Tamandua tetradactyla: one gene and its partners. The protein of the gene in region 4 interacts with the protein of the main gene of each other region in a biochemical or structural test. Links are inferred from orthologs where the notes say so. Each region holds a gene or a part of one and is shown on either strand. Other genes may lie near its edges.

Region 1 (7,618 bases), on a different chromosome or scaffold from region 4:
GGAAAACCATGTCACTCCACCGTTTCAGGAGTAAACAATGAGGCATTATTGTGCCTATGGTGAAGAGTGAAGCAAAACATGGCAAAATCTGTATTTATTTACTTATTTTAGTATATATATATATATACACAGGATCATGAAAGCAGTGGACAGAGGCAGGAGGCCCTAGTGACAAACCTGCACCCTACACTATCTTGCTAGACAGTCTTGGTCTAGTCAGTGACTTCTCTGGACCTCAAGATCCTCATTTAAAAAAATGAGGGGTTTGAGGGATCTTGAAAGTCAAGTCCAACTCAAAAATGCTCTGATTCCCCAAAATATCCAATATGGAAAGGAAGTGCCAAATGTGGATTTTGAAGACGCTTTTTCAGAGAGTCTTTTAGCTTTTTATAATGTCCAAAAATGAGAAATTAAAGAGGCTCCTCTTGTGTTTCTAAAGAACAAACTGTAAAGGAAGGAAATACCTGACTATGGGACAAGTGCAGAGTGGCAATATGCTAATGTAATACGAGGAAGGATTGGGCAAGAAATAAATTTACCCAAGCAACTTTTTGCTGATTCAAAGCACAAAAGCTAGCAACCACCAGGGCAGAGGCCAAAATAAATTTAAAAATAAATATTTTGATCTATCAAATTAATTTAAAACTAAATTAAGTATTTCTTTAGTATATGCTTTGGTACAACGTCTTTAATTACGGGTGTGTGCTTGCTTTTTTAACCTCATAGGCTTCTCTCCATGAAATTCCTCCCAGAGACGGGGAGAAAACGGCCAATAAACTGTACCTTTTACAATAGTCCCTCTGGACGCCCTTTAATGGTGACAAGGTCCCGTCGGGCCGGGGCCCACGCAAGGCCCTCCAGCTGCTCCTGCCTTGTCCAGGGGCGCGACCCGCGTGGCAAGGCTGCGGTGCAAGCCCCGAGCGGCGGTCCACGCGCTCTGGCCTCCGGGGGACCCCGGGGCAGGGAGGGCTGCGTTGGCCGCCAGGCCCCAGGCGCCTCGGTCCTGCCCGCTAAGCCGCTCGGCTTCCCCGAGGCTTCCCTGCTCTCAGGTGACCTGCACTGGGGACTGAAGTTTCCCCGCGCCCGGGCTCCTCCGCCCCAGGCGCTCGCTTCTCGGGTTTCAAACATCACCTCCTCAGAGGCGGCGGCCGCACCAGACCCGCGAGACTGCCCCCACGGCCCTCCCCGGCCGCTCCTGCGGGGGCTGCGGGCCCGAGCCCGCGTCCCGGAGGCGGGGGCGGTGCAGCTCCGCGGCCGGGATCGCCGCGTGCCCCCTTCGCCCGGGTGTGCGGGACCCGGGCAGGCCCCAGCCGTGCACCCCGCCCGTGGGAATGCTGTGGCGGGGCACCGGCGTGCCGGCCGCTGGGCGCGATCTCAACACCCGCGTTCTGGGGAAGGCAAAGGCGAAAACAGGGCGGGGGGCCGCCAACGCCCCCAAGGCGCGATTCAAGCGCCGGGAAGGAAGCAGCTTCCCCGGGGAGACGACGGGCCGTGCGCGCCGGGGCACGATCAACGCCGGCCGCGGCCACCTTTCCCGAGCCGGACCTTCCCCAGGCGCTGGGCCGCCTGCCCCGAGGCCCCGCCCCGGCCCGGCCCCGCGCCCCCGGCCCCGCGTCGCGGACGCTCCGCGCACACGCCCCCTCCCGCCCCTCGCGCGGGCCCGCGCCGGCCGGCGGCGACCAGCTCCGGGAAGGGCCGGGCCGCAGCCGGGCTGGCGGCGCATTCGCCCGCGCGGGGGCTTCCACGGACGCCGGGGGGACCCTGGGTCGCGCCGCCCCAGCCCGGACGTGGGGCGGCCGTGAAAGGGCCTCGGCCGCCGGCGTGCGAGGCCGGCCCGGAACCCTGCGAGGCCCCGCAGGGAGGGGGCCTCGAAGACCCCCGCCCCTCAACCCCTCCCCGGGACCCAGAGGGCGGGGCCCGCCGGGCAGGTGCGGGGATGCGCGCCCCGCCCGCCCACCACCCCCCCGGCCCGCGGCTCACCTGGCCCAGGCGCAGCAGCAACAACAGCGGCGGTAGCGCCCAGCGCAGCCCCCGAGCGCGCCGAGGCGGTCGCGCCCCCAGCGCCGAGGGCTCCATGCTCCGCGCGCCCCGCACCGAGCCCGGGACGTGGGAGTCGGGCCCCTCGGGCCGGCGCCGCCGCCTCCGCCGCCGGCCGCTCCCGCCGGGCCCCGCTCCGCCCGCCCCGGGCTTCCTCGGGGACACGGCAGCGGCGGCGGCCACTCGGCGAAGCGCGGCGCGGCGGCCGCGAAGGCGCCGCGTCCCTGGGCTCGCGGGGGCTGCGCGGGGCGGAGCGAGCGGCGCCCACCCCCCGCGCTCGGCGGCCCGGGCCCGGTTCCCGCGGCTCGGCGGGCTCCCGCTGCCTCCTCCGCGCGTCATGCGGCCCCGGCTGCAGGGAGCCGTGGCGAGCGCTCGCCGCCCTTCCCCCTCCGCTCTGAATATTCATCGCTTCCTCCCGCCCCGGCCGGCCCGGCCCTGAGCACCCCCGCCCCGCCCGCCCCGCGCCGCAGCCCCCGCCCCGCCCCCCGCCCCGCGCGCCCCGGCGGCCCCCCCGTGCCGCAGCCCCCGCCCCGCCCGGCCCCCCACATTCCAGGGACTTGCGACCCGGGACGCGACGCAGCTGCTCGCCCGCCGGGAGTCCCGACCCCGCTGCGGGTCGCCACACGCTGACCCGACCCCTGCCGAGGGCAGAGCCCGGCCTGCGAGGGGCCCCTGGCCTGGTCCTTGTCTACCTTGGGGTGCACACGCCCCGAAATTGCCGACTGCCTGCTGCGCTGGGCTCTCCCCACCCCCATCCGGGGCGAGGCCCAGCTCTGCCCCCCCCCCCCCCCCCCCCCCCCCGCCGCCTCGACCCCGGCAGCCCCGCTAGCCCCTGCGCCTCGCGGGGAGGGTAGTGCTGGCACCTGGCTGGAGGGACCTGCTGGGGTTAAGTGAGATGGGGTCACCCTAAGCCTGGCGCCTGGCCCCCGGTGGGCCTCAACAAACGTTGGCTCTTGGGGCCGTTCCATCCCATTAGCAAAGGGTGCGTGACCTTAAGATTAGAGTTTCCTGCCAGATACTGTTACTGCAGGGCTCCTTCCCAGAGAAAAAGCTGAGGCTCGGGAGGGCACCGGACTTGCCCCAGGAGGCGTGGGGAGAGAAACCAGGAGCAGTGGGGCGGGAGGTTAGTCCTGACCAGGGAGGGCTGGCACCTGAGCCGATCTGATGCTGGGTGAATTTCCACAGGCAGGTGAGGCATCTCAGGAAGTGGGAGCAGCCGGAAGAAAACCAGGAGGCAGGCGCTTCAAGTTGGGGGGGGGGGGGGGGGCGAGGCTTCTTTTGGGGGACAATTTTAAAAGTAGAATAAAGAGTTTGGGGCAGGTTCTTGTGTGCAGTGGCGTGGAGACCAGCAGGTGTCCAGCACAGCCTCCAGGCCCTTTGGCCCTCAGGTTCACCACCTGCAAAGGGGGAACTCACCTTTTTAAAGGGTCTTGGGGTGGGCCGGGGTGGAGTGGGGGTGGGCTGGGGTGCAGTAGGAGGTGGGGGTAGGAGGGTGAGCGTTCCCATCCACTGGACACACAGATAGGCACAGAAGGTCAAGGGGACGTCACCTGTTGGCTTGCACACCTTGCCATCTTTTGTTTAAACATTATGCAATGATCATAATCCACAAAGCACCCTGGCAGAGGCAGGAGGTTTGAAAGGCCTTCCTGTCCGCCAATCGCAGAGAGAAAGCACGCCCGGCTTGCTTCAGCTGTGACCTGGTCCTCAGGCTGCCGCAGACCTCCACAGGCCTACAGATCTCCACCCCCACCCAGACCCCTGCGGCTGCTGGTGTCTCCAGGAGCTCCTGCGTGCACTTGGGTCTTTTCCTGGGTATGCGCCCACGTTAAGTGCTGCTTGGAACCGATTCCCCTGCTGCACGTCGATGAAAACGAAAAGATGGTCTTTTCAGGAATGGGAGCGGTGACCAGAGTAGCAAGCTACCTGTTCCTCCGAAACCAGATCACAGTGGGTTAGTGCCCTGGGCAGGAATGAGTTCAATCCCGGGTGGGTGGTGTAAGCTCCCTGCAGGCAGGGGTTGGGCCCACCTCGCCTGCTGCTGGCCCCTGCTCAGTGCTCACACAGCAGGAACCCATACGCTTGTGCAGACGCCTGGTTGTGCAAGAGCACGCAGGGTGCGGAAGCCCATTCTTCCACAGGGACGAGGGAAAGGGTTGTCACACACTCTGCCAAAGAATTTGAGACCAGATTCCAGCTCAGCGGTCTCATCCCTGGCTGCCGCTTGCCCTGCACACCTTCCCGGGCGCCCCAACTGAGCTGCGGCTGCACCTCGTGCCCCCAGGGCCACCTGCAGCCTGAGGCCTGTATGCCCGCCTCCTCACCCGCCTCGGCGGGCCCGGCACCTGGGACCCTCAGGCGGCCTCTGTTTACCTAAATGAATGAATTCCTCTGAGTGCACCCTGGAGCACTAAGTATATGCATGTTTCTCGTCTCTCTCCCACCCGCCCACCCCCGTCTCCCATACACACGCACACACACACACACACACACAACAACAACAACAAATTCCATTTACTACCAGCTTTTCAGGAATAAATCTGTGCAAAGGGCAGGGTAATGCTCCTTGGGAACACCTAAGGACACCGACCTTTTACCAGGTCCACCCTCAAGTACTGGCTAAAGGGTCCCTGAGCATGGGGCCGGTGAAGCCACCAGAGTGCAGAGTTCCTGGGGCCTGCCCCAAACTGCCCACTAGGCGTCACTGGGCTTGTCACAGTTTGGCTTCCCCTGCCTTTCCTTAAGGCTCTGGGGGTAATTTCTGCTGTCACGCAGGACTGGGGAGTGCTGGCCGTCCCGTGACTGGCCTGCACAGGGTCCCTAACAGCAGTAAGTGCCATTTATCCAGCACCTTCTAGATGCCAGGCCATGTCGTAGTACTTCACGGCTCCTTACAGCAACCCTACAGAACAGGTGTCGTTACCAATACTCCACAAATGAGAAACTGGGTCTCAGAGAGGTTTAATTGCTTGTGCGAGGTCACACAGCTTCAGGGGGCAAAGCCAGGATTCGAACCCATATCTGTCTTGCCTCTATGCCGTTCTACCCGTCCATGTGATGTCTGTGGATGTGTTAATATAAAATGCTTAAAAACATTCCTCTAGTGTTGGCTGCTCTGGGTGCTTTTATTTTTACTCTCTTGTGTCTCAATTTCCATACTTTTAAAGTGGGAAGAGACAGAGCATGTAACTTTCTTCCTGTTCTCCCAAGAGTGGAGGCCAGGAAAGGCCACGGCCTCATGGCACGTCCCCACCCCACTGGAGGCTGCCCTGGCAGCAGCCTGGAGCCGGGCTCTGGCCCCGCGGGGTCCCTGCAGCCTGGCAATCCTCTGTCTATTTCTAAAGCTGCCGTGAGCTGCCGAGCCCTGCTAAGCGGAAGGGAATGTTTCTGTGAGTCTGATTAGCTAACGCTGCAGGCTTGGCTGCCTGAGACCTTCCTGCCTCGGCCACTTGAATTGAATCAGAATGGAAAGGAAGGCTTTTTTTTCCAGTTCATCTTTATAATAGTAGCCGGATGTGTTCCTGTGGGCTAATGATTGGGCTGTGGTCAGAGCCCCGTGTCTGTCCACCAGACAAACAGCCCCCTCCCCCCGCAGTGCCCTGTCACCTGCCCATGCAGAGAGCGTGGGTGCCCCGGCTGTGTCCTTTTTGGTTTCCGACTTTAAGCATTTGCAACAGTAAGCATTTTTCTAATTCTTTTTTCTCCTAAGTGTGTGTGTGCAGATAGGAGGCAAAGTTTGACTTCCAAAGAGACTTGCATGGGACAGATTTCGGCACAAGGAAGCAAGGAAGCCTACAGTTGCCGCTTCAGGGACTGGGAGTGCAAAATCGGGGGGGCCCGGCCCAAGGCCCCCCACTTCCCACAAGGGCAGGCTTGGGCCAAGGCTCCTGGGGCACCTGCAGACGTGGGGCTGAGGAGACGAGGGGCTTTCCTTCCAAGGCCTGAGAACAGGTTCTGCAGGAAGAGCAGAGGTGGCAGCACGGCAGGAGGCCATCAGGTCTGCACACAACAGCCAGCTCAGATGGAGAGCCGGAGAGCCGGCCGGAGGGGTAGCGACCGGGGAGCGTCCACTCAGAGCCTGTGTCCCTCAGCTTCCTGGCACCGGGCTTCTCCCAGGCTTGTTAAATTTTTTTCATTAGCAGATTGGAAAGAAATGTTCTTTATTTTCAGATGGAAAAAAAACATGTAATCACGTGGTGTTGAATGTATGGGACATGCGGGGTAAGAAGTGAACTTGGAACAATTGTGTCATGTGGAATCTTTCTGGCAAGGAAGAAAGCACCCTGCCATCTCAATAAACAAAAACAATTATGTATCTGTAATATATACAAATTGTGCCCATAAGTGACAGATGAGTGTATATAGAGATATTGGCCAGACACGAGCTGGAGCCTCCCTGACGGCAGCGTGCTGTGTGGGTGTGGCAGGGGCTGAGACATCCGCTGCCCGAGTTCGAAGCCTGGTCCTCCCACTGCACAGCTGCGGCCAGGGCAGGTCACGTCAGCCCACTCCACCTCAGCGCCCTCACCCACGAATGAGGTGGTGGTGTCACCTTCCTCAGGGACTGTTACAACCATTCAAACAACAGTGAATGCCACGCGAACACTACCTGGAAGGGAGTAAACACTTGGCGTTGTCAGCTGCTACTGGGGAAATGCACATCAAACTGCAGTGAGATGCCCTCCCACCCCGAGAGGGTGTCTGTACTCAAAACTGGAAAGCATTGAATGCGGGCAGAATACGGAGCCACTGAAAGCTCTGTGTGTTACTGGTGGGAGCGTGAACCGGCGCAGGCACCGTGGAGACCAAGTCCGCAGCTTCTCAAAAAGTCAAGCGTCCAATACCAGGGCCCTGGTGGTTCCACCGCTCGGGGTATATGCTCAGAAGAAATGGAAACAGAGATCAAATGGTACTTTTGTGCACCAGTGATCACAGCGGCACTCCTCACGACAGCACAAGGCGGGGCACGCGCGTCGAGTGTGGGGGCTGGCGCAGGGCTGCGGAGCTGCGCGCGGTGGCATGTGCGGTTCAGCCCAGAGCAGGAGCGAAGGGCCACTCCGAGTTCACGCCCACGGGCCTGGAAGACAGAATGCTGAGTGCCATGAGCTGGACACAGAGGACCAGAAGAGGAGTCGTGCAGACGCCACTTGTTTGAAATGCCTAGAATAAGCAAATTCGAGAAGATCAAAAGTAGGTTCGAGGTTTCCGGGGGACAAGGAGGAAGAAGGGGAGTCGTGCCTATTGAGGCCGGGGGTCTGGGGGAGGGAAGGTCCGTGGCGGGGGGCCAAGGTGATGACGGCGCAATATCACGATGTAAGAACACCACCGGACTGTCCCTTAGCAATGTTAAAGTGGCTAGTGTTGTGTGCTATATGTTACCAGAATAAAAAAGAATTTCAGTGCATCCCTGGCGGCTCTCCAGCAGGAGGGTCTGGTGAGAAGAGGCCTGGGGTTCAACGTTGATGCTCCTGCTGCTCAACCTTGGCCCCCATATCCTCAGCGGACAAGAAAATGGTGATTTATTGACTCAAAAAGTTACGGCGAGGGCAGTGCGACGGTGGCTCCCACCTGCCATGCCGGA
Region 2 (7,387 bases), on a different chromosome or scaffold from region 4:
TTCCCCCGTTGACTAGCCCACTGAGCTTTCCCTTCTAGACCAGTCTGTTCACCAGCACATCTTTCTTTGGGGTCACTTGTTTAACACTGTTGATTTTTAAGATTTTTTTGGATATATTCCATATCCTCACCATGCGTCTGTTCAGCCTTATTTTCCTGGCACCCATCTAGTTTTCATCCCGTCACTTACAGGCCTACTCAGTGCTAACTGCGTAGACCACGATTTGAGAATCAACATAACTAATTGTTATGTTTGAATGCTAACAATTGCTGCTCTGAGCCGCTCCTGGTAGGCTTGCCACATCGCTGCCAGTTGTCATGTGTTACAACCAGAGGGAAATTCTGCTTGCGGACAGCACGTGCAGCCGGGCTGCCCTGCCCGCCCGCCTTTCCCCACTGAGGCAAAGCCCACCCCTGGCACCACAGTCCTTCACCTCCAGCCCCTACAGGCTCTGCCTCTCTGGGGGTCCCTGACTGATGCCGACCTCAGCAGTGTTTCCCAGGTGCTTTTTTGCTCCATTAAACAGCGGCTGGGGCCGCTGGCACCAGGCCTGAGTTAAGCTCCCTTAAGTACTGCTTCCTGGCTGTTAATTAAAAATTATACGGAGAGTAAGGGGAATACTTTCTTTTGTTCTTTATTGACAAGGAAGGACACTAAGGAGAGGATGAGGGACTCAGACAGGGGACAGGGCCTTTCGGGTCCAGTCATCTGGAAGGAGACGCTTTTATCGGGCAGGGCCACTCATTAACGGTGGCATTTAAATGAGAAAGAGAAACAGAGGGGACGGGGGTGGGGTGGGGGGTAGGTCCTCCCCCACGGCAGAGGCGGCAGCGGGGTGGCTGGACACAACTCCCCCCGCCCTGGAATTCTGCTCTGCTTCTAACTGATCCTGTGTCTTGTAGGTAAGGTAATCACCATCTCTGTGCCTCAGTATCCCCCTGTGTAAAAACAAGAGGATCTTAAAAGGGTAACTGTCACAACAAGTGAGGATGTCACAGCGCAGCCAGGACTATTGAATAAAGTGATGCAGAGGGCGCAGGGCCCTGCCAGTGCCATGCGGACACAGATCGGGCAGAGGGGCGGCGGCAAAACCTGAAACGTGCTAAACTTTTAAAGAATTCGGAGACTCGCTAAAGAGCAAACAAAATGACCTTCAGTTAACATTTAAAATGTCAGAAATAGGAAAAGCCCCAGAAAGGTTGATCTCAATTCTTTTTCAGCTTTTACTGAATTCCTTTGATTGCGCAGATAGTGAGCGCCAACATTTGACCAGGAAGCAGAAGCCCAGGTTCAAAATCATGACAGAGCAAGTAAATACCAACTTGTAAGACAAGGAACTTATCTTTGATTTTCTTATCTTAGGGCAGACAGAAATGTAGTACTTTAGAAAGATTTTCCAAATAGATTTGAACCAAATTGTATTTCTTTTAAACAAGTTAATAAAAATAGCCATTTCAGAACAGTTAATTCCTTGGGAATTAACCATTATTGAACAATAAATTTTAACTTGATTTTTTATAGATAAAAGACTATTTTTATCTTACTTAACCCCCCTGCAGTTCCTCCTTGGCTGGTGGGAGCTCGCCTGCCAGGCTGGGTGGGGTGCTGTGGCAGCCCAGCTCCTCCCAGGCCCTCCACAAGGGTCCCTCTGCTCCTTGGGGACTGTCCTGTCCCTACCCAGTGTCACCCGGCTTTCCCCCTCCACAAACTCAAAGATAAACGGAGCACATGCTGCTTCTCCCACGGTGGCCCTTGGAAAACGGAGAGCAGGCCCCAGGAGTTCCAGAGTCTAAGTGAGACCCTTCCCGGCCCCAAAGAAACACGTTTCCACTCCCACTCGGCCTCCGGGGCAGAGGGCTGGAGCAGGCCGAGTCAGAGAAGCCCAGAGGGCCTGGTGCCACCCGTGTCCCAGAGAGACAACTTCAGGCGCCCGTGAGCACCGGCATAGGCAGCAGAGGGGCGGCCCTGTCCGGGAGGTGAGGGCAGCGACGCAGGGTCGGGCGGGAGGTGGGCGGCAGGTGGGCGGCAGGAGGCAGGGGGCGGGCGGGGGCCCTGGGCGGGGCGCATGGGCCGCCCGTAGGTTGCAGGTGGCGGGGCGGGACGCAGGGGCTGAGACCGGCGGGCGGAGGCGGAAGCGCAGGGCCAAGTCGCTGGTCGCCGCGCTCGCTGCTCGCAGGGAGACCGTGCTCGGCTCTCGGGAGGGCGCGGGGCCCGGCCAGGTGAGCCATTCCAAAGCGCCAAAGGCAGGCGGCCCTCCTGCCTGCCCCACGCAGCCCGGTGGCCGCGGGCTGAGCGCGGCCTGGAGACCGTTGTCACCTCCCCCCGCCCCAAACCGAGACTCCTCCCCGCGCGCCGCCGCCGCCCGCTCCCCGCTTAGGCCTCGCGGGGTCCCCGCCACCCCAAGACGGCGGACGTGGTCCGGACGCCACCGCGGACTCTGTCAGGGCTTCGGCCCCTTCTGCGGCGTCTACACCCGTGCCCTAGTTCCTCGCAGGGAAGACTCGGATGGGGGTGGGTGGTGAGGGGTGGGAGGGGGCGGGCTCGGGAGGCCGTGGGGCTGCCAACTGCTCCCGTCCCGCCCGCGCGGCCCGGCCACCTGCGCCGCTGCCCGACTGTGCCCCGAGCCCCCTGACCGCGGGGCAGCCGCCCTCGGCTGACACGGGCCAACCCTGCCCACACGCCCCAGAGGAGCTAGGCTCGGGGTTCCCTCACGCTGGTCCCCGAGGTCACCCGGTTCCCCGCACCTCGCGCTCCGAGAAGGGCTCGGGAGACAAAAGGGCCCCCGGCCACCCCGCCCGACCCCGGCGAGGGTCACTCACCCGCGCTGCGCTCGCGGCTCCGAGGCCGAGGGGCCGCGCGGGGGCTGGCGGCTGCCTCCTCCAGGTCCGCGGGCCCCCAGGCGGGCTGGTCTGGGAGTCGCCGCCGCCTCAGCCGCCTGCTTTAGTTGGGAGACGCGGGCCGCCAGGGCCGTAGGCTCGTCCTCGCTGGCGCGCGGCGGGGTGACTGACAGCGCTCTCCGCGGGCCCGGCGCGCACCCGGTCGCCCCGCCCCGCCCCCGCGCCGCTTCCTGGCGGCAGGTAAAGGCCGCCGCCCCCCGGGCCGCCCCTCTTCCCGCCCCAGGCGCGCGGGCCAAAGTGACCCTGTGAGCACACAAGGGTCAGCCCTGGGAGGGGTGGGAGGGCAGCTTTGCCGGTGGACCCCAGCCTTGGAGCCTACCCTCCGAATCGAGCCCCGGCCCCTACCTCCCCGAGGAGGAGTCTCAGAGAGCGTCTCCCCCTCTCCCGGCTCGGCCACCGTGGGGACAAGCACGCCCCCACCGTCCGGATCCGCAGCTCGCACCTGGGGTGCCCGCCGGGAACCTGCTGGGCAGAGCCCGGCCCTGTCCGGACCTGGCGCTCCAGGCCGTTCTCCCACTGACCCTCTGGGAACACCCACTGCTCTGGGGGTGCTGTCGGTATCAAACCCGGGCCTTGCAGTTGCCCCTCTAGAGGCAGGTTGTTCCTGGGTTGAACCTTCACCCACCGGCAGTTCTGCTGGAGAACCAGAGTTTTCCCAAAGGGGGCAAAGAACATACACCGGGGGACCCACCTTCTTCTGGAGCAGAAAGGGCTGGCTGACCCCGAAGTCCCCATGCTTCCTTTTGGTAGGTGGTGTCTGTCCTGCCCTGGTTAAAAGGAAGCCTGCCGTTTGAACGTGAGCCAACTGGACTCAGAGATCTGGAGGGAAACCCTGGTGGGCTCTGTGAGCCTTCCCCTGGACACCTCCCCTGAATTCTTGGTCTCTTGCCGCAGGTGGGTGGGAAAGACAGGAGATGGGGGAGGCCGGGCACTAGGGGAGGCGCTTACCCGGCTCCCGCTTCCCTTCCCTGGCCAGGGAAATGCACCTGGCGCTGTCAGGAGGCCCTCTCAGTTGTGGCCCCAGCAATCTCTTTCGGGGTCTCAGGAACACCCTGCCCAAGCCTGACCCCCCCCCACACACAGGGTCCCCGCAGGTCTGCCACGTCCAAATGCTGACTGCATCAGAATTAGCGAGTGTGTGTGACCTCTCCAGAGTGATAGAAAGCATCGCACGTGATCCTTTCCCGAGAGGAGCTGAAGGTGCTCAGGCTGGAGGCGGGAGGTGAGGAGGACACCAGCTTTTGGGCCTCTGCTACCAGCTCTTCAGTACCTGGTAAGTGGGGTGGGCCTGAGGGACACGGGCCGGGGGTGCCAGGGCCAGTGACATAACCCAACTCCAGTCACTCCCCCCAAACTTCTTAGGCCTGGGGATGGGAACACTGGGCTGTAGCTGGGACGTCTGCTTGGACATTGCAGACAGTTTCTCCCTCCCCCCGAAATGTGTCTCTGGTCGTCTCACAGTGACTCAGAAGAAAGCAACAGAGACTCGTGCCCTGCGAGCCCAGGGAGCTGGGCTTTGGCCCGTGGTGCCAGCTGTAGTCAAGTGGCAACCGGTGTCCTTCCTCTTTATGCCACTTCTGCTAATTTTTCAGTGGTTTAAAGAAATAGGACACCAGCCAGCAGTCACCTCTGTGAGTTTCAGGCCTTCCAACCCTGCCAGTTAAAACTCTTTTCAGAATGTTTATAAACTGCACCATCGCCCTTTGCCGGCCCACACGGATCCTACGAAGAGAGCGTTGAAGGCTCTGTGTGGGCATGAGGAGGTTGGGTTTAGAAGCTTCTCCTCGCCTTGGAAAAGGACCTGGGTCCAGGGCGCCCAGAGAGGCCCCAGGGAGAGTCGAGCTTTATATACAATGACAGCGCGTTTTTTAGCAAAATGACTGAGGTTCATTTGACAAAATGTGATCTTTTCCTCATGCTGAATAAAATTGGAAGGACTCTTGTTGGGAGAAGTAAAGGGTAAATTATCTGAGTCTCGCGTTGCAGACATTTCTAGGGAAACAGTGTAGTCCCTCCCCAGGTCACATAACCAGGGGCCGCGACCTGACCACATCCACGCGCGGAGTCCGGGCTGAAGCGGCAGGTCAAGCAACCTGAGGAGCTTCTAGCGACTTCAGAGCACATGTGCTTTGAGCTCTCCTTATTCTCCTCCATCTGGGAAAGGACTGGGCTCACTTCCACCCCCGGCTTGTGTGTGACAGTGCGCTGGTGACAACGCATTGGACAGGGTCACGGCGATTGCTTCTCCAGAGGGTCCAGGTAACAACTAGAAAGTCCCGACACGGTCACTGAATTCAGGAAGACAAGGTGAGTGACCCCTAGGTGAGGAGACAGGGATGTGAAGCCGTGGTCGGGGCTCAGTGCGCTCGACTGAGCACGTGTGCGCCCAGAAACCCGCTCGCTCCTCGCTGACACGGGAACTCCGGGGTGGGGGGAGGAAAGGAAAGGGGGTTTGTAGGGCCTGTGACGTGGGAAGGAGATTGTTGAAATGATATTTTTATAAACTGTTTTACAAAGTGTATATGTGCGTGTGTGTACCCCTATATGTATAATATTTTTCTTTAACCATAGTCCCATAACTTCATTAATGAAAATAAAAGCCAGCAGCTCTCTGTAGTGATCAGGATCACTCTTTTAATGAACTACAGGGGTATATATTATATATTGTGTATTTGAAAAGAAACTGTACATATGCTCACTAGTAAACACACTGTGGTAGTTAGTTATCCCCGTCAGTTAACTGTGGTTAACTCTGCTATTTGAATTGCTTTTATTTTATTATTATTGTTATTTTTTTTTTGCAAGGGCAGTCACCGGGAATCGAACCCGGGCCTCCGAAATGGCAGGTACCACCACCGTACCACCTTGAATTGCTTTTAAATAATTTTTTTTAATTAAAGATGCTATGGATTTACTGAACACTCATGCATAAATACAGGATTCCCATACACCACCACATTATTAACACCTTGAATTGGATTAGGACATTTGTCACAATTGATGGCAGCACATTTTTATAACTATAATATTAGCTACAGCCCACAATTTAACTTAGGGGCCACCATTTGTGCTGTGCAGTTCCATGGATTCTTAAAAATTGTTTATTCTGCTGCCTTCTGTACAACCTAACATTTTCCCTTTCAACCATCTCAGATATATATTTCTTTTAGAGTTTCTTTATTTTCCAGTTTGCTCCCTGATTATGTATGGGCTGCTTTCCAGTAAACCTCTTACATTCTTTGGGCTGCTTTGCCGCTCCTTTAAGAAGAGGAGTTGGTTTGGCAGTTTGCATTTTCCAAAAGGCCACATCGTCTCCAGGTCCCCAGCTCTTCTTACCTTGTGGGATGTGCTGGGCCTGCTCTCGGGTGCTGCCCCCAGCCTGGGTGAAGCTTGTGGCTGCCCCTGACCCCTGGCCTTCACCTTTTGGACTGATTGCTTTTGGCTCCCCCCCCCACCATCCCTCGAGGAAGACCCCGCAGCCCCGAAGACCCACAGACCCGCAGCCATGCATTCGTTGACAGCCCAGTGGGGACACTCGCTCCCAGCCTGCCCAGCTGCCCAATATGGGTGACAAGACTGCGGAGGGGATGGTGGAGACAGGAGCCTTGAGGGCAAAATTCTGTCCCCACCCCCTGTTCCCTCTACTTCTTATAAAGATGAATTCTGCCTCCAGAAAAGAGATTGTTTTATTTAACTGACAGTTTTACTTACCAAACACTTTACTTTCATTCACTCGTTCATTTATTCCACAGATATTTTTAAGCCCTTAAATGAGACGTGTCCTTCAAGGAACTAAAACCTCTGGTGTGGACAAAACAAGGGGGCAGTGAGCATGACAGGGTGTCAAGAGGGTGAGCTCTGGAGGCCCGGGGACACAGATGGAAGTGGTGAGGCCAGAAGCCTAGGGAAGCTGACCTGCAAGTGGGGGTTTAGATGGATGAATAGGAGTTCTCCAGATGAGAAAGGGTCAGGGCTGGGCTAACTGGCCCAAGGGGCAGCATGTGTGAAGGCAGCCAAGGAGAGCTGCAGGTGCTTGGGAGAGGAGGCAGGGGCCAGAGGTGCAGTCCCCACAGTGCCCACGATGAGAATAGAGGAGTCAGAAGGAAGTTGCTGTGTGCCTGCCTGCCCTATACCGCTCATTACTGCATCTCCCCGGCCAGCGAGGCAGTAAGCCTTTTCCTGTCTCCATCTCATGGGGCAGGAGCAGAAGTCCCAGGGTCACAGCACATGCCAAGATGGTGCAGTGAGTGCGTGGCCAGCAGGCGGCGGTGGGCACCCCATGGGAGAAGCTGGAGCCCCCCTGCCCCAGGCAGTGGGCAGCGGCATTGAGTGGGCGCTGGGGAGGCAGAGAAGGCCAGCTCTGGGCCAAGTGCTAACTCCAGTGACGCCATCGGGGAAAGACAATGAGATGCTCCGGAGGAAGTGAGCAGAAGGGGCCGCACCTGCGGCAGGAGGGGGACACCCCGATTAAAAGTCCCAGGCCAAGGGCT
Region 3 (7,589 bases), on a different chromosome or scaffold from region 4:
CCTAATGAACCTGTGAAATAAACAGAAAACTGCAGTGCACTGTTTGTCAATAAGTAAGCTTTTTACTCAAGAAAATCCCATTTCAGTTATATGCATGTCTATATACACACACACATATATCACACACACATACTGGGAGACTAAGTACTCAATGGCAAAGGAAGATTTTTCAGTTTCTCCTGCCAGTCTCCCACTATAACCATTATCCTGATGCCCGCGGGCAATATTCACAATTTTCCTGAGGTCATTTTTTGCAATTTCTCTAGGGCACTCAGCAAATACCAGACATAACCTTTTACATTTAAATGAGATTAATAAAATAGAAAATATTGTGGGGGGAAATTGCTAAAACCTAATCCCCAATAACATCTGCCATAGCTTCTTCCAGGTTGATTTTTTCCCCTACACCTACCCCTCACTCCAAATTAAACCAGAAATGTTGCTTTTTAAAAAGTAAAAATTAAATAATTTTAATTTATTTCATAAACTGCTTTTTCCCTTAACTCATAAATTTGATATATTTTTATGAGAAAGATTTATCAGTCTACAAAATCACATGTATATTATAGTCACCACAAGCAGCAGCTGTTTTGGAGTTTATGTTAAGCAATTACTCTTTCCAAGTTTGCTTCTAATGAATTTGGACCTCTAATAAACAGAGGGAACTGGCAGAGTTCTAACTTAAAATGGGGTACAGAAATTCTCAACACCCAAAAAGAAAAGGAGATGTAAAGGCAAACTGCTCCACAGGAGTTTAGGGTTAGTCAGAGTGGCTCAGTTTAAACCAGGGGGAATGAATTTCCATAGTGGGAAAGGGTTCCACTCATACCAGTGAAATACACCATGCTATCGGCAGAAACTGCAAGGAAGATGGGAAACAGAGATGGAGATCAGGACTCTAGGGTGTTAAGTAGTTCAAAGGTGTGAAAAGTTTCTTAATCTAAAAGCCTCCAAACTTGGTTATTCTGAGCTAAATCTGCTCAGCAATAAAAATACCCAAGAAATGGGTCTGAAGAGAGTCTGAAGTAGCCACCAGTCAAATATGGATACAGTGTTAAATTGTTTGCAAATTGTTTCAAAACAAAGTTTCAAGGTTTTTTAGGATATTGTTCTAATTTGACAATTAAGGGTCACTTCTCTACTGCACACTATTTCACTGCATAGTATGAAACTTTTTTTTATTGGCAATTTTTAGAAGCTCTTTGAGGACCCAGATTTATATATATATATAAAAATATGCTAACAGGATATTTCTCCTCAACTTAATACAATCAACTTTCCTAATAAGCTGATACAACCCTGAAGATGAAAGAAGTCTCTTTCTTAGTCATTATAATACTTTAGCTACACAGACACCCCTGAAAATGAGATGAACAGTCATTCTCTCAACCCTATTGTACTTTAAATCTATGTCCACTTTCATAAATCATGTGTTGAATCCTCAGATTTTTTTTTCCCAGTAAATGATCTAAGAGCCTGATTTCATATTCTCTCTCTCCCCCACTCTCTTACACACACACACACCTGCACTCCCCAATAACAACACTTCCTTTGAAAAACAGAATGTCACTTCCTCAGTCCAGAGGCCAGAAGTCCCTTGATTCTGATCTGGGGAGCCAAGACAGGAAACTCTGGTAAGCTTCTGCCTCTCCCCCCATGGACAGCCACTGCTGCAGCTGACAGAAGGCAGGGTCTATTCAGAGCTCCCTTGATGCACTGCAGCTGGAAGACAAGCCCTCACTTCCAGACTATGGGAGCAATCCTAGAGCCCAGCACCAAAAATCAGTCGTAACAAGGGCATTTTGTAGGAAGTGAAGAGGGCGAAGATGGGAGACTTTGAGGCATTTTAGCGACCTTACTTCCATTTCCAAACTCCGGCCACAACTCCGGGGCTGATTTCTGCCAAAATTTGTAACGCACCGTTTTGTTCTTTGACCCACCAGGCATACATCCTCGGGTTAAAAAACAAAAAAACGTCCTATCTCCTCACAGCTCAGCACCAGGCTGTACCACATCCCCCTTGATATTGCCAGTTTCTCACGCAGAGGAGAGACGCTGTCCCAGCAATTTCAGTAAACACTGTGGGTTAGCACCACCTGGCAACTGAGAACCTTGATCTCTCCCGACCCCAGACACCAAGGTCTACACAATACAAAACCCAGGCTAGTTACAACGGACCAAACTGCAGTGTCACACTCGGGGGAGGGGTATGCATGTGAGAGACATACGGAGTAAAGGGAAAGAAGGGGAACAAACAAATGAGTCACTTAATACAAGGGCTGCACATGCCGCTGACGCTGCCCATGATGCAGAAGCTCTGGACTGGAAGGAAGCAGACGGCCACCCGGGAGGGGCGGGCAGAGAACGGGAAGAGGGAGAGGGTGTGAGGCGCGTCGCCCTTTGTGCGGGACAAGCCGCGCGGCCACACAGCTTACTCCCCCCTTTCCCACCCACTCCTCCGACCCTGCAGGGGGAGACCGCCCAGGGTTACTGTGCTTCCTAGCCCGGGGAATCAACTCTCTCGGTCTCCCCAAACAATCAATACAAACTTCAACGCTGTGTTTAGTTTACAAGGAGGCTGGCTGGGGAGGTGCCTCCGACGTGCCTGCCCAGCGCAGAGGGTGCCGCAGCCTCAACCAGCCGCCCCGCCCCTCGGCGGCGCACCTGTGACAGGTGTGCAGGTGCCCCACACACCCCGGCGCCGCGGGGCGCGGCGACCACTCCTCGACCCCCGCAGGCCCGGGGGAAGGTCCGCCGTCCCCATTGGCGCGGCCCCTACGGAAGCCCCCACCCCTCTGTAGGCCGCCGGGCGCCCCTAGCTCGCGCCCCCCGCGGCCGCTCCCGCTCGCCGCCTGCACTCACATAGCGCCTCAACTTCTTCTCGGGGGGCGATTTCCTCAGCCAGCCGGTGCACACCACGTCGCCGCCGCCGCTCATGCTGTCGGCGGACTGGAGCCCGCGCCGGGTCGGGCGGACAAGGGCGCCGGCCACTGGGTCAGTCGACCCGCGGTGCGCAGCTCGCGCGGGAGGGAGGGGCGGGGCCGCCAGGGGCCGCCGGGCGAGGACGAGGCGGCGCGGGCCCAGCCGTGAGTGCGCGCACCCGCTCGCCCCCGCCCCCGGCCCGGCCCCGCGCGCGCACTCGCTGCCGGCCGGGAGGGGGCGCCCGGCAGGAAGCGGCCAGCGCGCGCTCGCCACGCCCACAGCCCGCCGCGCGCTCCGCCTGCGGACAACGCCTCGCGGCTGCCGGAGGACCCGAGTCGGCGCTAACGTCCAAAGCTACCTTCGGCTGCGCTCCCGTCCTGGTTTTATTTATTATTGTTTTTCCTTTCCCCTCTGAAGTCTTTTCCAGAAAATCCGGAGGACTGGGGGAGACAGCCGCGCCCTGGAGGGGAGGTGTGAGGGGAGAGGAATCAGAGGGCTGTCGGTCGCGGATCAATTTTTCAAGGAGAGTTGACGGGGAAGGGACCCGAAGGCTGCTCACGTTTCCTGTCCATTCCCAGAGTTTCAGGTTTCAGCGGGTCAGGTTCTGGCTGAAATTAGTGATCCGCTTCGCAGCAAGAGTTTCATTAACTCTCACACTCCCTTGGCGGGAGGAAAAAAGGAAAACACACCTACGAAGTGCCGGATGATTGTCTTAACCTACAAATTGGTGGGCAGTAGTGTTCCTATTTTACAGATAGCCTAAGGTGTCAGCACTAGTACAATGCAAAGCAAGATTTCTAATTCCGAGGAGGTAGGGGTAGGTTTGTGCTTATCTGCTATTTAAAATGGGGGGACTGCTTTAAAGTCTATGAATCAACTTGGTCTTTGTCAGGAAACAAAGTCCAGCAAGCTCCCATACTGCCTCTGGGAAAGTGGCTCAGTAAAAGAACATCTGTATGACTTGAAAAGAACTGACGAAGCAAAAATTAGTCAGTGTATATCATGGCAAATTGGAAGACAGAAAAAAGAAAAATTGGGGCAAAATTCCTCAAGTTCCAACTCATTTATATAGGCTATGAGACCTCTTTGGGACTCATTTGTAAACTGGAATATAATGATACATCTCTCCATGAGCTGTGGTAAGGTTTAACTCAGATAAAGTATGTGAAAGTACACACTTGACAACACCAGCACTTCAGGGGTAGGGTGGAGAAAAACATGAAAATACTTTTGGTAGCTCTTTTTCATTCACAAAGTTCCTTAATAAGCAGCCTTAAGCGCCCCAAGTTGTCTTTCAAGTGGATAGTAACCCAATGGGTTACTGTACTGCCACACATGAACTGGAGAAGCAGCATCTCTTAAAAAAAACACCTTTCAGAAAGCACCTTTCTCTCCCAATCTTAGACTAAAGCTATTTTGTTCACTTCCCTGTCTCCAAGCAGCTAAGCTACTTATTTCAAGGAGCGTGACTTTCATCTTGGTTGAGTTAGACGTTCATCTACTGGGCGCTTAGCTTTTCCTGGCACCCTGGGAGATTTAGAGAGCTGCTCCCTTGACCCCAGTATTTCACTGACTTTCTTCACTGTCCAGTATGCTGTTGAATAGAGTTTAAAGCCAGCACTATAACAATAGCTGGAACCAGAGCTTCCTTAGCCTTTCAGTTCATAGATCCTTAAGCCACATGCAAAGGCCACCACCAGAATTACCTTAAAACTCTAGGAGAACTGAGAATAAAGGGTAACTAGGTCAGCAATTTTCATGTAACATTCTTTGAACCTATCTTAAAATACTATTTAAGTAAATGATCTAATTTCTACATAATTGTTTCACAGAAATGTCTTTTTTGTTTGTTTTTATAAGGTGTTTAAACAAGCTCAGCTAAATTCAGGATCCTGTAGCCACTTTGTGCATGAGGGAGCTTGAATTTAGTGGCTTTCAACATTATTTATGAAGAAAAAAAATAAAGTATCTCATATTGAACGTTATTGTACTGCATTTTTTAATGTAACAGTGCAGATCTTGTTAAACACATGAATCTGTATAATCATGTTAAATGCAAATAAACTGGTTCATGGGGAAAAAAAACCTATGACATAAATATCAAAACACTCAAAGTGCCAGATTGATCAGGAGGCGGTGACTCCCAACCAAAATAAAGTAATCTTACTGACTATTCACATCTGAGTCATGGTGCCAAGTCTCAGGGACTGCAAGGAGTCTGAGAAAACTTCAGGATTTGGCAGCAGCTGAGGTTTATGATGCAAGTCAGGCATCCATATGCCTTATCTTTCCCTAGAAGAGTCGTAAGTCTTCTATTACATACCTATTAATATTTATATGATTCATGACAGATGGGAGATTGCTCAGCAATGATTACTTGGGGGATAGGTCACATTCAGCCAAAACTCTTTAAGGTCTTAGAAGTCTTAGAAGACTTCAAGCTTTTATTTACAATTCCATATGAGAATTATGGCCAATGATGGGAGAGGCCTTAAAATACGAGTTACAGAGTATGGGCATATCAGGAAGTCTGCGAACACCACCCTCCTTCCCCAAAGGTTGGAGAAACACCACCCTCTCTTCCGTGCTCTTCTGTTCCCTCACTTCCCGAATTCTCTCTCTGCACCTTCCTCATCACTTGGCTGCCAGCGCCCAGTACAGGCTGCACTCAGAATGCTGGCTTCACCCTGTGTGTCTCAATCTTCGGAGCCCGGGATGCCTGTCAGGCCTGAAAACAGCTCTCGGACAAAACGTTCCTGTCTGGGCCTTTACTGAGTACTCCCCACCCGCTGCCTTTTTAAAAAATGTTCCCTGGTTTTCGCTAAGGAGAAAGGGAAAACAAATTACTTAAGTAATTTATTTACACGAAGACAGGCGCCACCTACCGGAACCAGTTGGGACGACATTTCCCCCACCCTCCCCGTCGCAACCGGTGCGGACATGCATCGCTAGTCTATAATTTAGGCAATTTCTATTAAAGACCATGGGGTAATTCCTGGGGGGTGGGGGTGGGGTGGATTAATGACCGGCTCCAAGGAGTGTTTTGGGTCATTAATTTCTTATTCTCATTACATTCCAAGGAAATTACAATCTTATGTGTGTGCATGGGGGTGGGGGGCAGGGAGGATCGTGGGGAGGGAGCAGTCACACCTGGGAGGGGAGCATGGGTACCAATTTTTGCCCTACCCCCCTCCACGCCCGGGTTCTAAAGGGTGCACTGTGGCTTTTAGTGTCGTCAGCGACAGCCTGCATCCGTGCCTGTCTGGGAGCTGAGAGTTTGTGGCCAGCGGCAGGTGCATGGCTGGTGGAACGCTCCCAGGAACGGGTTGGAAGGGCTGGAAGGAGAGCTGTCCTCAACTGCACACCAGGCTGGTGTGATTAATACCACCCACGCCAGGCCTGACGTCAGCGATTGGACTGGGGGTGGGGACGGTGTTTGTGTTGTAGCCCTTCTGTCTTTTCTCCCCTTCAGTTTAGTTGACAGGTTAATTTCAGAGCTGCACATTGCTTGCCAAGGTCAGTATGACCAGCTGAGTCACCTCAACAGAGGACTCCCAGGACACTGTTGTCTTTCAGGCATCTTGATATGTTTTGCCTCTTTAACCCCAAGTCACTTAGAGCCCAGTTGGTTCACTCCATCAAATTACCCTCTGATTTAAATCAACTCTTGGATCTGCTGGAACTGAGATCTGGAAGTGGGCTTGGGGTATGGTTGAAGACCTATTTGGATTTCCCTCTCTGTGGATGGCTGCTAACAATATGAGAGTTACACTACATCAGTGGGAGGCATTTTGGTAAAGTTTGTGCCATTTAGTTTCCCATTGTAGAGAATCAAAACCTATGCTAATTGCTTTGTGGCAGGTTTGCTCCTGGGACATTTCTGCTGCTACTGGTCAGCTTGGTAACATCGTGTTGCACTGAACCCACTGCAAAATCAGTTGTCCATGCTCTCCCAAGAGCAAAGACTGTTGAACGCTTTGCATGCTGGCCCCTTATTTTCTTCACAGAGAGAACTCCTATCTCAAATTATATCTTAAACCTGTCAATACTCCCTTTCCTAAAACTCACCCTGCTCATTCCCCAGCACAGTTGTTCATTTTCTTTGTATTCATACTGCACCTAGTAAAAATAAATATGATTATCACACTGTACTGCAAATATTTGTTTACTTGTCAAGGAACTGTGAGTTCCTGGAGGGTAAATCTCTCATATTTTTCCAAGGATATTTTAGGTTGGTGTCAGGCACACAATAGATACTCATTAAAGTTTTGTGTATGTGTGAGAATGAATGAACCAAAATGCTTGAAGGATGACAAGTCCAAGACATCCTTCAAGGGGCTGGGAACCTCTGAAACATCCAGTTCTCTCAGGTGCACCCATAGCAGAGAATTGTATCTGTGAGGATACTTACTATATGACTGGAGTGTTTAAATCTACAGGGACTGGCCTGGATGGAAGGGCTAAGCAGGTGGAGGTAATCATATGCGGTTCCACTTTAAAAAGGTAGTTTTAAAAACTACGGCTTGCCTTCTTTGATCTTTTCTGAGGTTTTTTATTTTTATTTTTTACCCCAGGCTCCAGAGAGCTAATTGTGTTAATTCTTGATTTCCAAACCCTGACACTGACTTACAGAATCTCCTTTCTGGGACTAAATCACTTTGTGGCTG
Region 4 (6,897 bases):
AGGCATCACTGTTCTGTGGCCTCAGTTCTCCTACACGGAAAATGGGGATAATGATAAACCACAGGAGGCAGGGGAACATCCCAGTTAAAAGCGACAGTTCTGGAGTGAAGCTGCCAATGTTTGGAATCCCTACTCTACTACTCACACAAGCATCAACCTGACTGTGCCTCAATTCCTTCGTCTGTAAAAGGGAGGAAATAATCGTTCATTGGACGATGGTTATGAGGACTGGATGAGATGATTCTTGTAAAGTAAGCAGCTCAGGGCTTTAGGAAATGGTTAATGCTCAGTCAACACAAACTTTTATTACTATTCTAACTGCCTGTGCCACATGGCTGTTAAGAGGGTTAAATGAGATAATGTATGAACACCATCTGGTATGCAAGAAATGTTTGCTTGAAAATGAATGTTTGCCTTATGGGAATGATTTAGGCAAAAAAAAGTGAGGAAAACTCCCAACAGCACACTCCTACTCAAAAAATAGTCCTTGGCCATACATCAGAAGGTTGAGGAACAAATGTATATTTATATTTTAAGATAAAACAAAGATTAAGTATAAATGAATGAATGAATGAATGAATGAATAATGCCATCTGGCTCATCTCTAGAAAGGGCTTTTCAAGGATATCTGGACCAATCCTGCTGTTTTATGGATGGGAAGGCCCAGAGAGAGGTAGTGACTTGCTTAAGATCACACAGCAAGTCAGGGGGTAAATGTGGAGATTTCCTGTTCAGTTTGTGGTGGGGGCAGCAAACTCTGCAGTACAAATCTCCACTCTTTGGTGGAGGGCTGGAACAGGCAGGGTAATGGGTGTGAAAAGCTGCTGAGAGAATCCATCAAACCAGGCAGGAAGTGGACAACAAACTCAGAAAGCGAGATTGGGGAAGGGCAACAAAGGTTAGTCTGTCCCTCCCTGGGCAAGGTTCAAATTCAGAGGTACCTGGGGTAGGGCTCTGAGAGGGAAGTCAAAGGAAGGCAGATTCTCATCCGGGGGGAAGAAGAAGAAAGCAACAAGAAGCACTTGATTTTAGGCTTCCTAAACTTTAGTTTCCTCATCTTTACGATGGACCTGGTGAGGCCTATCTTGACAGAGGGCAGTTGGAAGATACGAAATAGCACTTCGTAGACACAACCCCTGACACATAGTAGGTCCTCAAGAAAAGGCAGCTTTCTTCTTGCCTGCCTGCCTTCCAGCCCAGGGATACAAAGAGGAAAGAATCGTCAGTCTATTAAGCAAGAACTGACCGTGGGCAGAGGCTGGATCACACCACAGATCTGCAGATGTCAGGAGACAAAGATCCCATACAGACCATCTTGCCCAGCCCCCCAGAGGCCCAGAGCAGGGATGGGACTGGCCCAAGGTCACACAGCCTGTCTGAGCAGGGTCAGAATCCTACTGAGGCCTCCCAACCCTTTTACACTCTGGCCTCTCTTGTGCTGGAAAGTTTCTTTCATGGAGTTTGTTTTGAAGGTTGGATGGGAAGAAGGAAACAGAAAGAAGGCCAGTGTTCCCCCAGCCTAGCTCCAAAGTCATGCCTGGCCAGCCATCTGGCCAGGGTGAAGGATACACATCCCTCATGGCTTCCAGGGTGGGCGCCCGCAGAATGTCCCGGATGCCAATGACGTTCTCATGGCGGAAGCGCAGCAAGATCTGGATCTCCCGCAGTGTGCGCTGGCAGTAGGTCTGATGTTCGAAGGGGCTGATCTTCTTGATGGCTACACGAGTCTTGCGCACGTGGTCATAAGCTGAGCTGAGAGGGCCAGGGAGATGATGATGGTGTGGCCTTACAAAGGGGGAGTCCAGAGCCTGGTGGCTGGCTCCACCCTAGCCTTGGCAGGGAGGGGAGGGAGCAGGAGAGGGCTCTGGCCAAGTCATAAACAATGCTGGTTCCTTCCTGCTGGTGAAGGGTTGGGATCTCCAGGGAAAAGGCTGGGGAGCAGCCAGGAGGCCCTTCGGTGACTTTACAAACAGAGGAAGAGACTGACCGCTCACTGACTTCCCCTCTCCTTAACCCTCTTCCATTCCAGTTGCCCTGACTCACCCTCATCCCCCCCCCCACCGCCCTTTCCAGAATGGGCTCTTTCCACCCCAGACAGGTTCAGGGGGTAGAAGGTGAGTGAAGGACACACAATGAGGCAGAGGGAGTTGGAGGAGGGCCTGGAAGGAAAGGTCAAGGCAGGGGCAGGTCTCAGGGTGAGGTACCTGGGCAGCAGAGCAGTTCCCAGAGGAACAAAGGCCCAGAGCAGACAGGGCGGCTGGAAGAACTTATAGATCCCCTCCCAAAAGATGCAGGGGGGCACTCCGGGTGCTCTCATCACTCACTGGGTCCCTGGTCCCCTGCCAAAATCCTGCCCCACCCTGCCCAGCCCCAAGCTCTGCTCTTCTCTCCCAAACTCTCTGGGACAGCCTCACTGGGAGATCTAAGGCCTCCTCTCCCCAAAGGAGGGTCCTTCACTCCCCCTTCACTGAGGATATCACCTCCCCAAGAATGAAATCTTTGCTTCACCCCAAGGGCCCCCTTCCCTCCCATGGTCCCCACAGCTTCCCCACATACACTCAGATGCCCCTCCTTGCATTATAGGGGGGTCCGTTCAAAGCCTCCGAGGCCCCTACCTTAAAACGTTCGCAGCACCCCGCCCCCCCGCCCGCCCCCCAGAAAGCACTCAAAGGCCCCTTCCCCCCGGACGCTCCCCGAGCCTCTTGAGTCCCTCGCCAATTCAGGACGCTCTAAGTCTCCAGGTCTCAGGAAGCACGCAGCACCCCACTCCCTCCCCTCCCTCGCTCTCGGAGCCCCCTCCTCCTCGATAACCCCCTCCAAGAACGCCCCCTCACCTGACCATGCCGTATGCGCCCTCGCCGATGTACTGCAGCTGCGTGTAGCGCGGGCCCACATCGAACGGCTGTCCCTTCACTACCTCCACTTCCCCCGAGACCCCCGGCCCGACCCCATCAGCTCCCCGGGGCTCCCTGCCCCCGCCCCCCTCAGCCGCCGCTGCCGCCGCCGCCGCCGCCATCTCCACCTCTCCCCTCCCGCCCGCCCGGCGGCTCCGCCCGAGGCCCCGCCCCTTCCCGCTCGCCCTGTCACTCGCGGGGTCGCGCGCGCCAGGCCCCGCCCCCGGGCACGCCCCGCCCCCGAGGGCGCCGCGCCCCCGCCGAGCTCGAGCGAGGGCCGGCGACCGGTCACGTGGCCCGCTCCTACGCGCGCCCGGCTTTCCCGCCGCGGGTGTGGTAGTCCTGGGCGCGACAGCTGGGGTCCGCGAAGAAGGGCCTGGGGGGAGGGTAGAGGGGGTCAGTGGCACGGCCAGCCCAATGCGGCCCGGCCCGTGAACTTCTCCGAGGCCACCCAGCGAGCATGTGGTGGAGCCAGGACGTTGCGCTGACCGCGAGGCGGCCGGGGGTCGCGAGACGGAGCCGTCCTCTCAATCCGCTGCAGCCCGGCCCTGAGGATGAGTGAGGCCGTCGGTATTTCCCGGGGGCCGTGTGAGAGGGCTTCCTGGTGGCTGTGGTCTGCCCTGTGCAGATGCAGAAACTGAAGCCTCGAGAGGGGGCCGGCACAGGCGAGAGCTGGGGAACCCTGAGGGCCTGGCCCCCAACCTAGTGGCTTAGGGACAAAGGCCGGACATCCTTAACCTGGGGAGCAGGGGAAAGGCCAGAAAGCTGCAGGCAAAGTTGAGTGGGTTTGATTAAAATTCGCTAGCAGGCTCTTCTCAAAAAACAAAAACAAAACACACACACACACAAACCAGCAAAGTAGGTAGTGTTTTTGTTGCTGATGGAGTTGGCAAAATTGGAATCCTGGCAAGATCATCATCTTTCGAATCTGTACCAGATTTTATAATTCTGATATTCAGACACTCAAATAAGAACAAATCACGTTTTACAGATGAGGACTCTGAGACTTGGGTTAACTGACTTGGCTAATGTCATAGCAATAATGACAGCTGAGACTCAAAATGATGTCGTCTGTTGAAGGGGGCGAGGCTCTCTAATTTCTTATTATCTCTCAGAACCATGAATTGTTAGAACTGGAGAAAAATCCCTTAGAGACCACCCAGCCTACCCCCTTTGTTGCACACTGAAGATGTGAGCTGAAAGCTTCACAAAAACCCATATCTCCTAGGCTTCAGTAAGTAATCATGTTGTTTATTTCTTCCTGAGTAGCTAGAAGTAGGTTCTTGTATGCCTTCCAGATCAAGAGACAAAATGGAACAGTAATTATGATTCTGAAATGGCTCATAATTGAATTCACCGCTAGGCAGTCTGACTCAGATGGGTGAGACTGAGTGGCTGCCTTTTCAATAGCTGGCACCTCTGAAGGTTCAAGAGGTGCTAATCAGAGCAGTGTTTTTTTCAGTTATTCATTTAGTGAACTATAAAATGGTGGTGCGAAGCTCTAGCTAAGCTCTGTTGAAAAATTACTGTACAGTATAAAATTAATGGAGAGGAGCTCTCTGGAGTCAGCTTGCCTGAGTTAGAATCGCATCTTTGTTACTTACTCCCTGTGTTTTTTGGGGGGTGGATTATCTATCATCCTCTTTACTTGTGAAGTTTATAATTTACTAAAAAGATAAAATGTACATATATAAATCAATTTAATTCAGGGTAGATGGAAGTATACCCCCCAAAATTGAAAACAGACACTCAAATGCATGTACAATCACGTCATAGTGGTGTTATTCACGATAGCTAGAAGGTGGGAACAACTCATATGTCCATCAACAGTTGATTGGAAAAACAAATTTTGGGTTATATATACACTTACAAGCATGCACAAATAGAATGGAATATTATTTAGTCATAAAAAGGAATGAAGTTCTGTTAAATACTATGTGTGACTGAACCTTGGAAACATTATGATAAATGAAAGAAGCCAGACACAAAAGCGCACGTATTGTGTGATTCCACTTATATGAATAATTCAGAGTAGATAAACGCTTGAAGACAGAGAGCAGATTGATGATGGCCAGGGGCTGGGGGGGCGGGGGGGAAGGTTGGGGAATAGGGAGTTACTGTTAATGGGTATGGGTTTCCTTTTGGGATGATGACAATGTTTTAGAACTAGATAGAGGTGGTGGTTGCAGGGCAGCATGAATGTACTAAATGCCCCAGAGTTATTCGCTTTAAAATAGTTAATTTTATGTAATGTTAATTTCATCTCTATAAAAAATGATGGATGGATATAATATGAAGCGTGGGAGCTCAAGGGTGAGAGAGGTCACTCTGGAGAAGTGAGGGAAGGATAAATGGAAGTGATATTTGAGCCATTGAAAAGGCAGGATTTCAGCAGGACCCAAGAAAGGAAAGGCAGCAGCATGAGCCAAGGCGGAGAGGCAGGAGCTTGGCTTGTCCAGGGTAGCTGGAATGTGAAGAATTAAGAGTTCAGGCTGGAGAGGTAGGATGGGGGAAGACTGAGAAAGGCCTTGGATTCTGGCAAGGAGTTTGGATCTTACTCAGTAAGCAGTAAAAACCTTTGAGGGATTTTTGCCAGATCATTTTGCAACTGCAGGAGCGTATAGTGACTCAGAGAAAACACCATGGAGTTCAGCACTGAGCCAGGTTTCTTGAGTGGGAGTGAGTTTCTCAGCATAGGAAAGGCTGATATATCTGGAGGGACAATTTGCCACCTCTTGCTGCATTTTTGAGGTTCATTTTAAGGGTGTGGTACGGAGACTCCCCTCTAGTGGTTGAGGTTGATATTTCCTTGGAGGAATGGGCTGGTATTTCTTAGTCTATTTAATTGATTCATATTCAGCTTCTATAAATTGAGCATCTCTCCTTTGCCAGGCACTTTTATGTACCATATCTCCTGTGATCTTCCCAATAGCCATATGAAATACATACCAGTATCTCCATTTAACAGAAAAAAGTGCAGGAACTTACTGAAATTGTAGAGTTGGAAGGGAATAATTTTCTCCACCAGGTAGTTCATTACTTTACAGCTGATTGCATCGTTAGTTTTTCTAATGGCCACTATTTGGCTTAGTTTTGTCCTCTGGATCTACCCAGATTAAATCTTAAACCCAGTTCTTATCTTTTTATGATTGCAAGGCCTTGTTTTTTCAGAGCACAAATGAATATTTTGATTAACTCAACAAATCAGCACGGCCCAAGAAGGCAGCAAGTGTGCAGGAATGGGGTGAGAAGACATTTAAACATTTATCAAGGTTTAAGTACTGACCTTTTTTTTTTTTTAATCCAGAAAACTTCCACTATAGTTTTCTTGTGACTCCTCTTCAAATGTTATACAGTAGGTATCCCCAAACAACTCTCCTTTGAAATAAGCATTCTTTAGCTGGCCCTTCTCTGAAGTCTTTGTAATCAGTTCTGCCTACCCCCTCTGAATCCTTCCCTGGACTAGCCTTCTGTTCTGGTTTGCTAGCTGCCAGAATGCGATATACCAGAAATGGAAAGACTTCTAAAAGGGGGATTTATTAAGTTGCAAGTTTACTGTTCTATGGCCATGAAATTGTCCAAATTAAAGCAAGTCTATAGAAATGGCCAAATTAAGGCACCAACAAGATGTTACCTTCACTCAAGAAAGGCTGATAAAGGTCAGGGTTTCTCTCTCAACTGAAAAGGCACATGGCGTACATGGCAACATCTGCTAGCTGTCTTTACAGGCTTCTTGTTCCTTGAAGCTCTCCTGGTGGTATTTTCCGTCATCTCCAAAGGTCTCCGGCTGGTGGACTCTGTTGCTGTCCCCAAAATATTTTCTCTTTTAAAGAATTCCATTAAACTAATCAAGATCCATCTGGAATGGGAGAAGTCACATCTCCCTCTAATCAAAAGTTAATACCCACAGGGTGGTGCAATGGTGGCTCAGTGGCAGAATTCCTGCCTACCATACCATGCTGGAGACCTGGGTTTGATTCCCAGTGCCTGCTCTTGAAAAAAA

What was found.
Region 1: of the proteins of MAPK3 (region 4) and PTPRJ, one has a biochemical effect on the other in vitro, tested with the Homo sapiens proteins (2 studies listed by IntAct, with this or other methods). The link is inferred for Tamandua tetradactyla from reciprocal best matches to the Homo sapiens genes MAPK3 and PTPRJ.
Region 2: of the proteins of MAPK3 (region 4) and MBP, one has a biochemical effect on the other in vitro, tested with the Homo sapiens proteins (5 studies listed by BioGRID). The link is inferred for Tamandua tetradactyla from reciprocal best matches to the Homo sapiens genes MAPK3 and MBP.
Region 3: of the proteins of MAPK3 (region 4) and GAB2, one has a biochemical effect on the other in vitro, tested with the Homo sapiens proteins (2 studies listed by BioGRID). The link is inferred for Tamandua tetradactyla from reciprocal best matches to the Homo sapiens genes MAPK3 and GAB2.

What each region holds. Positions count from the first base shown.
Region 1 is NC_135334.1:124,793,714-124,801,331, reverse strand, and holds the start of PTPRJ (receptor-type tyrosine-protein phosphatase eta), read right to left. Parts: upstream 3,006-7,618; coding exon 2,901-3,005; intron 1-2,900. UniProt on the Homo sapiens protein: Tyrosine phosphatase which dephosphorylates or contributes to the dephosphorylation of CTNND1, FLT3, PDGFRB, MET, KDR, LYN, SRC, MAPK1, MAPK3, EGFR, TJP1, OCLN, PIK3R1 and PIK3R2. Plays a role in cell adhesion, migration, proliferation and differentiation.
Region 2 is NC_135344.1:5,464,917-5,472,303, reverse strand, and holds the start of MBP (myelin basic protein), read right to left. Parts: upstream 3,008-7,387; 5' UTR 2,820-3,007; intron 2,220-2,819; exon of another isoform or gene 2,120-2,219; intron 1,469-2,119; exon of another isoform or gene 903-1,468; intron 1-902. UniProt on the Homo sapiens protein: The classic group of MBP isoforms (isoform 4-isoform 14) are with PLP the most abundant protein components of the myelin membrane in the CNS. They have a role in both its formation and stabilization.
Region 3 is NC_135334.1:66,268,958-66,276,546, reverse strand, and holds the start of GAB2 (GRB2-associated-binding protein 2), read right to left. Parts: upstream 3,011-7,589; 5' UTR 2,938-3,010; coding exon 2,863-2,937; intron 1-2,862. UniProt on the Homo sapiens protein: Adapter protein which acts downstream of several membrane receptors including cytokine, antigen, hormone, cell matrix and growth factor receptors to regulate multiple signaling pathways.
Region 4 is NC_135349.1:24,645,706-24,652,602, forward strand, and holds the start of MAPK3 (mitogen-activated protein kinase 3), read right to left. Parts: upstream 3,017-6,897; coding exon 2,835-3,016; intron 1,753-2,834; coding exon 1,570-1,752; intron 1-1,569.